2 linked regions of the Sus scrofa genome follow. The protein of the gene in region 2 interacts with the protein of the main gene of each other region in a biochemical or structural test. Links are inferred from orthologs where the notes say so. Each region holds a gene or a part of one and is shown on either strand. Other genes may lie near its edges. The genes, in order: ANG and RNH1.

Region 1 (2,606 bases), on a different chromosome or scaffold from region 2:
CTGTTCTCTTCACAGTTAACTGAGTGATTGATAGATACGTGGAATCTGTTCTCTGATTACCCTCTTCCCTGGGTTCAAGTTTCTCTAAAAGTCCTCTTCTTCAGATCTCTCCCCTCCTATCTAACTCAGTCTCATCTCAACAAATTGCTGCTCCCATCCCTTCCCCATGGATGCTACATCCTCTATTAGGGAGGAATTTGGTGTGTCTTAATGGTCTTTGGGTTCCAGGACCTCACACAGTGGCTGGTACCCAGTAGGGGTTTGTGTAAAGTTTGTTATTAAATTAGTTAATAGTTTGGTCTCTCTAGTGACCAGCTCCCATCCAGGAGCCTCCAGGAACCCACCAATTGCCTCATTAGAACCAAAGATGCTCCAAGTGCGCTCATCTTTAGGAATTTATAGATGTTTCAGAAGCCCTGTGCTGGGAACTGGGGGCAGAGACCAATATGTCTTTCTTTTCTTTTCTTTTGATTTGCTGGAATATAGTTGACTTACAAAATTGTGTTAATTTCAGGCATATAGTAGGGTGAATCAGTTATGTGTATACATGTATCCATTTCTTTTCAGTTTCTTTTCCCATACATGTTATTTCACAGTATTGAGTGGATTTCCCTCTGCTACATACAATAGGTCCTGTCACCTGTCTATTTTATGTATAGTAGAGTGTATATATCCATCTCAACTCCCTAATTTATCCCTCCCCCCACATTTCCCCTTTGGTAAACATAAATTTGGTTTCAAAAATAAATAAATAAGGGAGTTGCCTTTGTGACTCAGTGGTTAACAAACCTAGCTAAGATCCATGAGGATGCGAGTTCAATCCCTGGCCTTGCTCAGTGGATAAAGGATCCGTCATTGCTATGAGCTGTGGTGTAGGTCACAGATGAGGCTCGGATCTGGTGTTGCTGTGGCTGTGGCATAGGGCAGCAGCTACAGCTCTGATTTGACCCCTAGCCTGGGAACTTCCTTATGCCACAGATGCAGCCCTAAAAAGCAAAATAAATAAATAAAATTTTAAAAATAATAAAATAAATAAGTACATTAGTTAATAAATGAATTAAAGAATGTGAATGGATTTTGTAATGCTGCAACTGATAGGTAAATTCTCAGTGACCCTAAGGGCTAAAAAGAGTGATTGGGACTGTATGTCGTGTTTAGGAAACTTGTAAATAGACATTCCGAAAGAATTGATTGACGAGACACATGAGACTAATGAGGAAAGGAAAAAAAAGATATATTTAGATGCTGGAGGATACCTGATTCATAATGCTCTGCCAGAGAGAAAAGTCCCTGACCCTTTAGACGCCTTGGGCCATGCTGTTCAGTGCCCCTACCATTTCTCCTTTTGCCCTTGGCAGGAGCCTTTGTTGGAAGAGATGGTGATATTGCTGGGCCCCCTGCTGTTGGTCTTCATGCTGGGTCTGGGTCTGGCCCCGCTGAGCCTGGCTAAGGATGAAGACAGGTACACACACTTCCTGACCCAGCACTACGATGCCAAACCAAAGGGCCGGGATGGCAGATACTGTGAAAGCATAATGAAGCAACGAGGCCTGACCAGACCCTGCAAAGAGGTCAACACCTTTATTCATGGCACGAGGAATGATATCAAGGCCATCTGTAATGATAAGAATGGAGAGCCTTACAACAATTTCAGAAGAAGCAAGTCTCCTTTCCAAATTACCACTTGCAAGCATAAGGGAGGGTCCAACCGGCCTCCATGTGGGTACAGGGCCACAGCAGGGTTCAGAACCATAGCTGTTGCCTGTGAAAATGGCTTGCCTGTCCACTTTGATGAGTCCTTTATCATTACAAGCCAGTAGCCCAGATCTGGCTCTGCTCTTCTTTCCTTGCTTTGGATCCCCCAGACACCCCCACACGCCTACTCCAGCCCCCGCCACCAGCCTTCCACCGAATAGTGGTGGCAAGATTCATTGCCAGTGGTCTAGAAAATAAGGTGTCTGATCTTTCATTTTCTGTTCTACAATATGTTCAATAAATAAAAACATGTCTGAAAGCAGTAAGAATCAAAGTTTTCTTTGATTCTTGGCCTATCATTCTTTCCACGTTTTCTCTATTCAGCTGCCGCCGCCTGAGTGTTAGATGGAATAGAAACGCCTTTTTCCTTATCAGTGAGGTCCTTATCAGGCATTAGGGAGGGGGACTTTACCTTTCTGTGAAGGTAAAACTGTTAAATTCCAGGGCTCAAGGCCACTAAGCATAACTTTTAGGAGGAGCAAATTGTTTTACTGTCACCTAATAAGACAATATTACTTTTATAAATGCTCAGCCTTAGGAAGAAGAGTTTTGGACTAAATACTAACAAATTAATGATACACACACACATTTGTAATCCTGCATGAATACCAAAATCCATTCAGGGTAACTACCTCTTACCTTAAGCAGAAAGTAATCTGATAATACTTTGAATGGAATTCTCCCAGGATGTTCTCATATTTCTCTTTAATCTTTTATCAGTTGATGTCCGGCAACTCAGAGTTCTTAAGGAGGTCATAGAAAGATTCCAAGCTTATCCTTTATCCTTTTTCTACTGGATATGTTTTCAAGCAAATATAAACTTGGATTAACAGACAGTCTCTGTAAAATAT
Region 2 (4,503 bases):
GCGTACCTGAGCGTCTCCAGCTGGCAGGCAGAGTCTGCCAGACCCTGGCCCAGCACCCGGGCGCCGGCCTCGCCGATGTCGTTGTTGCTCACCGTGAGCTCCTTCAAGGCCCGCGTGGCCCTGAGCACCGAGGCCAGGGGCTCGCAGCTGGCGGCCGTCAGGCGGCAGTACTCCAACCTGGGGACGGGCCGGCGGTCAGCGCCTCACCCTGGCCGTGAGGCCCCGAGGCCGGCGGGCTGCCGGGCGGGGATGGCACAGCGGGGGCCGAGCCCAGAGACACCGCAGAGAGACCTGAGGCTCCTCTGCCAGGCTTCCTTCCTCTGCGGCCAACCCCATCCGCACACCCAAAGGGAGCAGCAGTGCCTGTGGGACCCCAAGAGCCCCCTCCTCCAAGCTCCCTGCAGCCAGTGAGGGGGGAGGGGGCTCGCCCAGGGCAGACCCTCAACCAAAACCCAGGGGCTGGGGCGGGGGGCTGCCTAGCTAGGGGAAGGGGGCGCACACTCACTGCAGCTTCTCCAGGTGGCACTGGGGGTCCAGGAGCCCCTCACAGAGCAGCCGCAGGCCGGCGTCCCCCAGTGGGTTGTCGCTGAGATGCAGCTCCCGCAGCGTGGGCAGGGAGCGCAGCGTGCTGGGCAGGACCCCGCAGCCCGCCTCGGTCAGGGAGCAGTTCTGCAGGCTGGAGCGTGCGGCTGTCAGCGGGGCTCCCACGCAAGGCGGGCCAGCCCTCAGCAGGAGCCGGGTGAGGCGGACACAGCCCCCCGCCCGTGGGGAGGCCAGGCTGCCGGGCCTTGCAGGAGGGGCTGCGACACGGCCGCGACGCGCCCAAGGGCCCAGGAAGGACAGGAGGGCTGCCGTGGGCCCGAGCCTCGCCCGGGGTGGGATGAAGGGCTGGCAGGCTCACCTGAGCTTCTGGATCTTGCAGGTGGGGCTCTGCAGGCCCTGCAGCACCAGGTGCACGCCGGCATCGCCCAGCTCGTTGGTGCGGAGGCAGAGCTCGGTCAGGGAGGGGTTGGCCCGGAGGGCAGAACCGATGTCCTTGCAGTGCTCCTCCGTGAGGCCGCAGTCGTCGAGCCTGCGGACAGACGGGCGTTTCACACGGCAGGCTGGGACCCGCCGAGGTGCGTCACCGCCAACACACCTCAAGCCCAACGGAAAAAGCACGGGGGTCACCTGAGAAAAGCTCCAGGATCCTGGCAGGCAAACGCGTCTGACCGCGGGGCGGTCGGCAGGTGCAGGCTGCTCTCTCCGCCAGGAGAGAAGCCACCTGGACGAGCCAGCGCTGCAGAGGGAAGCGCCCACCTAGAGGGCTCAGCGCGGCCAGCATGGAACATACCAGAGCAGGCCCCAGGACCACAGCCGCCCCATCAAGTGAAAACCGAGTCAACACAGGAGGGGGCAAAGCCCGCCCTTACAGAACGACAGTCCACACACGTGGACGGAATGAAGAGATTCAAACGCCCAGCGGAGCAAAGGCCCGGTGATGCTGCCCTGGCAAGACCCCCGATGGACGCAAAGATCAGGAGACAGTCTGCGCAGAAACGGTGTCGGCAGAATTGGAAGGCGGTTCGCAAGGCGGCGCTTGTCACTAACAGAGGGAACCCAGTAACTACAGTGGACATCTGGCGGGCACCGCCTCACCAGGTGGTCACAGGGGACCACGGGGGTGAGCGTGTGGCACCGCTGTGATGACAGAGCCCACGAGACACCATGCCGGGCAGCCCAGCACGTGGCTGTTAGCTTTTTGCCATGAACGTGTGACTCAACCATGTCAGAGGGACTCGGGTGCCAGAGCCCGAGCGGACTCCAGAGGCAGGCGGCCAAGGACAAGGAGGGACCCTGGAGACCAGGGGTCTGCAGGACCTGGAAAAGCTGGGCACGTGAGCTTGGACTCTGCTTGGAACGGCGCCCCGGGTGACGGCACCCAGGGGCCCCTGCACCGCTTTCACGATGCTTCGGCCAACCTACAACTTTCAAATAAGTTAAAAAGAGAAGCAAGCAGGCAAGCACTCATCTCTTGCCTCCGAGCCCTGAGGAAAGTCTCGGTTTGAGACCCTCAACAGCAGAAGCCAGGGGACGAGCTGGAGACCCCTGCCCTGCTCACCAGGCCTGGACCAAGGGGGAACACACATTCAAATGGGTGGAAAAAGGACAAAAAGAGTAGTATTTCGTGCCACACGAGACACCCCACAGTTGACATCGCGCCGCTGTAACTGATGTTAGCGGGAGGTGCTGGCCGCGGGGCCGCCAGCCTGGGGGCTCCTACCTGACCACCTCATACTGCTGGAGCAGCGGCAGGAGCTCTGTCCACCGGGCGTCGCTCAGCTGCTCGCAGTGGATGTCAAGATTCATGCCGGGAGGTGGGGTGCTTCCTAGACAGAGGCGGGGGGAACGTGTCAGCCCAGCGCAGGCTGGACTGGGCAGAGGTCCGCAGACAAGGTGGGGGGTTCCAAACAGGATCCAGGGGCCAACATTTCAGAAGCCAGAGCCCGGCCCTGCTGCTTCGTTTCCGTTCTGCAGCACCTTCATCCACGCCAGCCTCTGGGAGCAAAAACAGGGGTGGGCAGAGGGACGCTGTGCCCACTGGGCCCCCCAGCAAAGACCACCAGGGACGGCAGGGCTTGGGGACAGACGGAGGCCTCTCTCAGCGGCCAGCGCCCCGCACCCGGCCTATGCGGCACCTCCTGCCTGGGAGGAAGTTGAAACCAGCACTCGCCACCCAAAGCTCTGCTTCCAACTGGCCTGGGCTGCGGCGGGGGGTGGGCTGTGGGCCTGGACAGTGTGGAGACCCCAGGCAGGTGGGCACAGGGGCCTCAATCCGGGAAGTGCTAAGCAAACTCGGTGCCTGCGCAGCCTCCCCTCTAAGAACGGAGGACTGCACCGGCCAGGTGGCCACAAAGCCAGACCCCCTCCCAGCATGCCGGCACCTGAGGCCTCACCCCTGGAGCAGCGGATGGGAGGGGCAGGTGCCTGTGGTCAGGTGACCGTTCCCAGGGGCGCCACAATAGGTGCCCTGGACGGGACAGAGCAGGTGGGTGGGGCCACGGGTCCAGTGACCAGCACTCTGGGTGGCCACTGGGGCTGTCTGCTTCCATGATCGCCCACACAGGGCAGGTCCTCTGCGCCAGCTCACCAAGGAGGCTGAGAAAAGAGTGAGACGTCTGGCTGGCAGGCCTGGAACGGGAGATCACAGGCCCTGAAACCTCACCTGGGCCAGCACGGAGCCTGAACCAAAGAGGAACCAGGGCCCCAGGCAGGGGGCCAGCGGGAGAGGAACCCCCGGGCAGCCTGGTGCTGGGGCGGGGAAAGTGCCTGGGGGCAGGGCTTCATTCAGAAGCAAGTAGGAAGTAAAGGCTCTGCCTGGGCACAGCGACCCCAGGCTCCAACAGGATGACTCAGACCCCCCGGGGGTTCCCCCTCAGCCCCTGAAACCTGGATTCCTGAGAATGATACCTCACTCAGGTTTGCGTCCATGCCTGGCGGGCCCAGGCCTTGCTAAAGGGGGGCTTCCCCACCCCCCGCACCCCCGTCTGGTTGGGAGCCCACAGCAGGGCGGAGGGCCACCCCAGGCCAAGGCTGAAGTTACAGTCCTGCTGGGTGGAGGAGACCCCTGCTGCCAACCAACAGCAAGACTCCGGCTTGCTCATCCTAACGGATGGGCCTGCTGAGAAACCAAGGCCAAGGCGGAGGTAGCTGGCCCGTCAACAGCCATCACTGGCAGAGGCCACCCGGCCCTGCCCTTCCTGACCCAGGGCGTGGTCACCCAAACCCTGACTCAGAATCCTCAGTCACCACCGGAAAGGCTCAGGAGGGGGACTCGCTGGTTCCGACCCATTGAGGGGGGGATCCACTTAGGATCTCCAGCCCCAATAGCTCCCTTGGAGCTGCGCCCTCTCCCTGAATCCCACGTGACATTAGGGGACGCAGTGTCCAGGGTAGAGAACCACAGACCCGACTAGGCCCCGGGGCTCCCCTTTGCTTGACCCTCGGGGCCAGGAGGACACTTCTGAGCCTCCTGGTGACTGATCCCTTTGAGGGTCCGTGAAAAAGTTAACATCCTCCAAAGGTGCTGCGTGTACAACCATCCTCACAAGCCACCAGTTAGGGGACCCGGTCTGGGTAGGAACAGGCACGTGTCTAGCCCAATGCCTCGCTGAGAACCGGGAGCTCCACCAGCGGAGCCGCTCCCTAGGCCCAGGCACCGGGCCAGGGTCTCAACAAGGCCCCATTAATTGCTTCCAGAAGGGATGGGCCTCAGCGCGGAGCGGCGCCGGCGTGCGAGCCGCGTCTTTCCGCCTTCCCGGGGGCAGCGCCCGCGTCGCCGGCCCGCCCCCGCTCGGCGCAGCACGGTTACCCGTGAGAGGCAGGGGGCAGCGGCGCGCCGGGCTCCAGGGCCACCTCCGCGCCCACCCGAGACTCCGCATGTGTCCGGAGGCCGGGGGTCAGCGCGGGGCCCGGCGGGGGCCGCTCGGACGCCGCGCGGAGAGGGCTCCTGGCGCCCCGGGC

The links.
Region 1: the proteins of RNH1 (region 2) and ANG are reported together in a solved structure, tested with the Homo sapiens proteins (3 studies listed by BioGRID and IntAct, with this or other methods). The link is inferred for Sus scrofa from reciprocal best matches to the Homo sapiens genes RNH1 and ANG.

The regions. Positions count from the first base shown.
Region 1 is NC_010449.5:78,248,891-78,251,496, reverse strand, and holds ANG (angiogenin precursor), read left to right. Parts: upstream 1-1,356; 5' UTR 1,357-1,358; coding exon of another isoform or gene 1,359-1,376; coding exon 1,377-1,820; 3' UTR 1,821-1,821; downstream 1,822-2,606. UniProt on the Homo sapiens protein: Secreted ribonuclease that can either promote or restrict cell proliferation of target cells, depending on the context. Endocytosed in target cells via its receptor PLXNB2 and translocates to the cytoplasm or nucleus.
Region 2 is NC_010444.4:283,473-287,975, forward strand, and holds the start of RNH1 (ribonuclease inhibitor), read right to left. Parts: upstream 2,931-4,503; 5' UTR 2,917-2,930; coding exon 2,679-2,916; intron 2,370-2,678; coding exon 2,264-2,369; intron 1,073-2,263; coding exon 902-1,072; intron 677-901; coding exon 506-676; intron 178-505; coding exon 7-177; intron 1-6. UniProt on the Homo sapiens protein: Ribonuclease inhibitor which inhibits RNASE1, RNASE2 and angiogenin (ANG). May play a role in redox homeostasis. Required to inhibit the cytotoxic tRNA ribonuclease activity of ANG in the cytoplasm in absence of stress.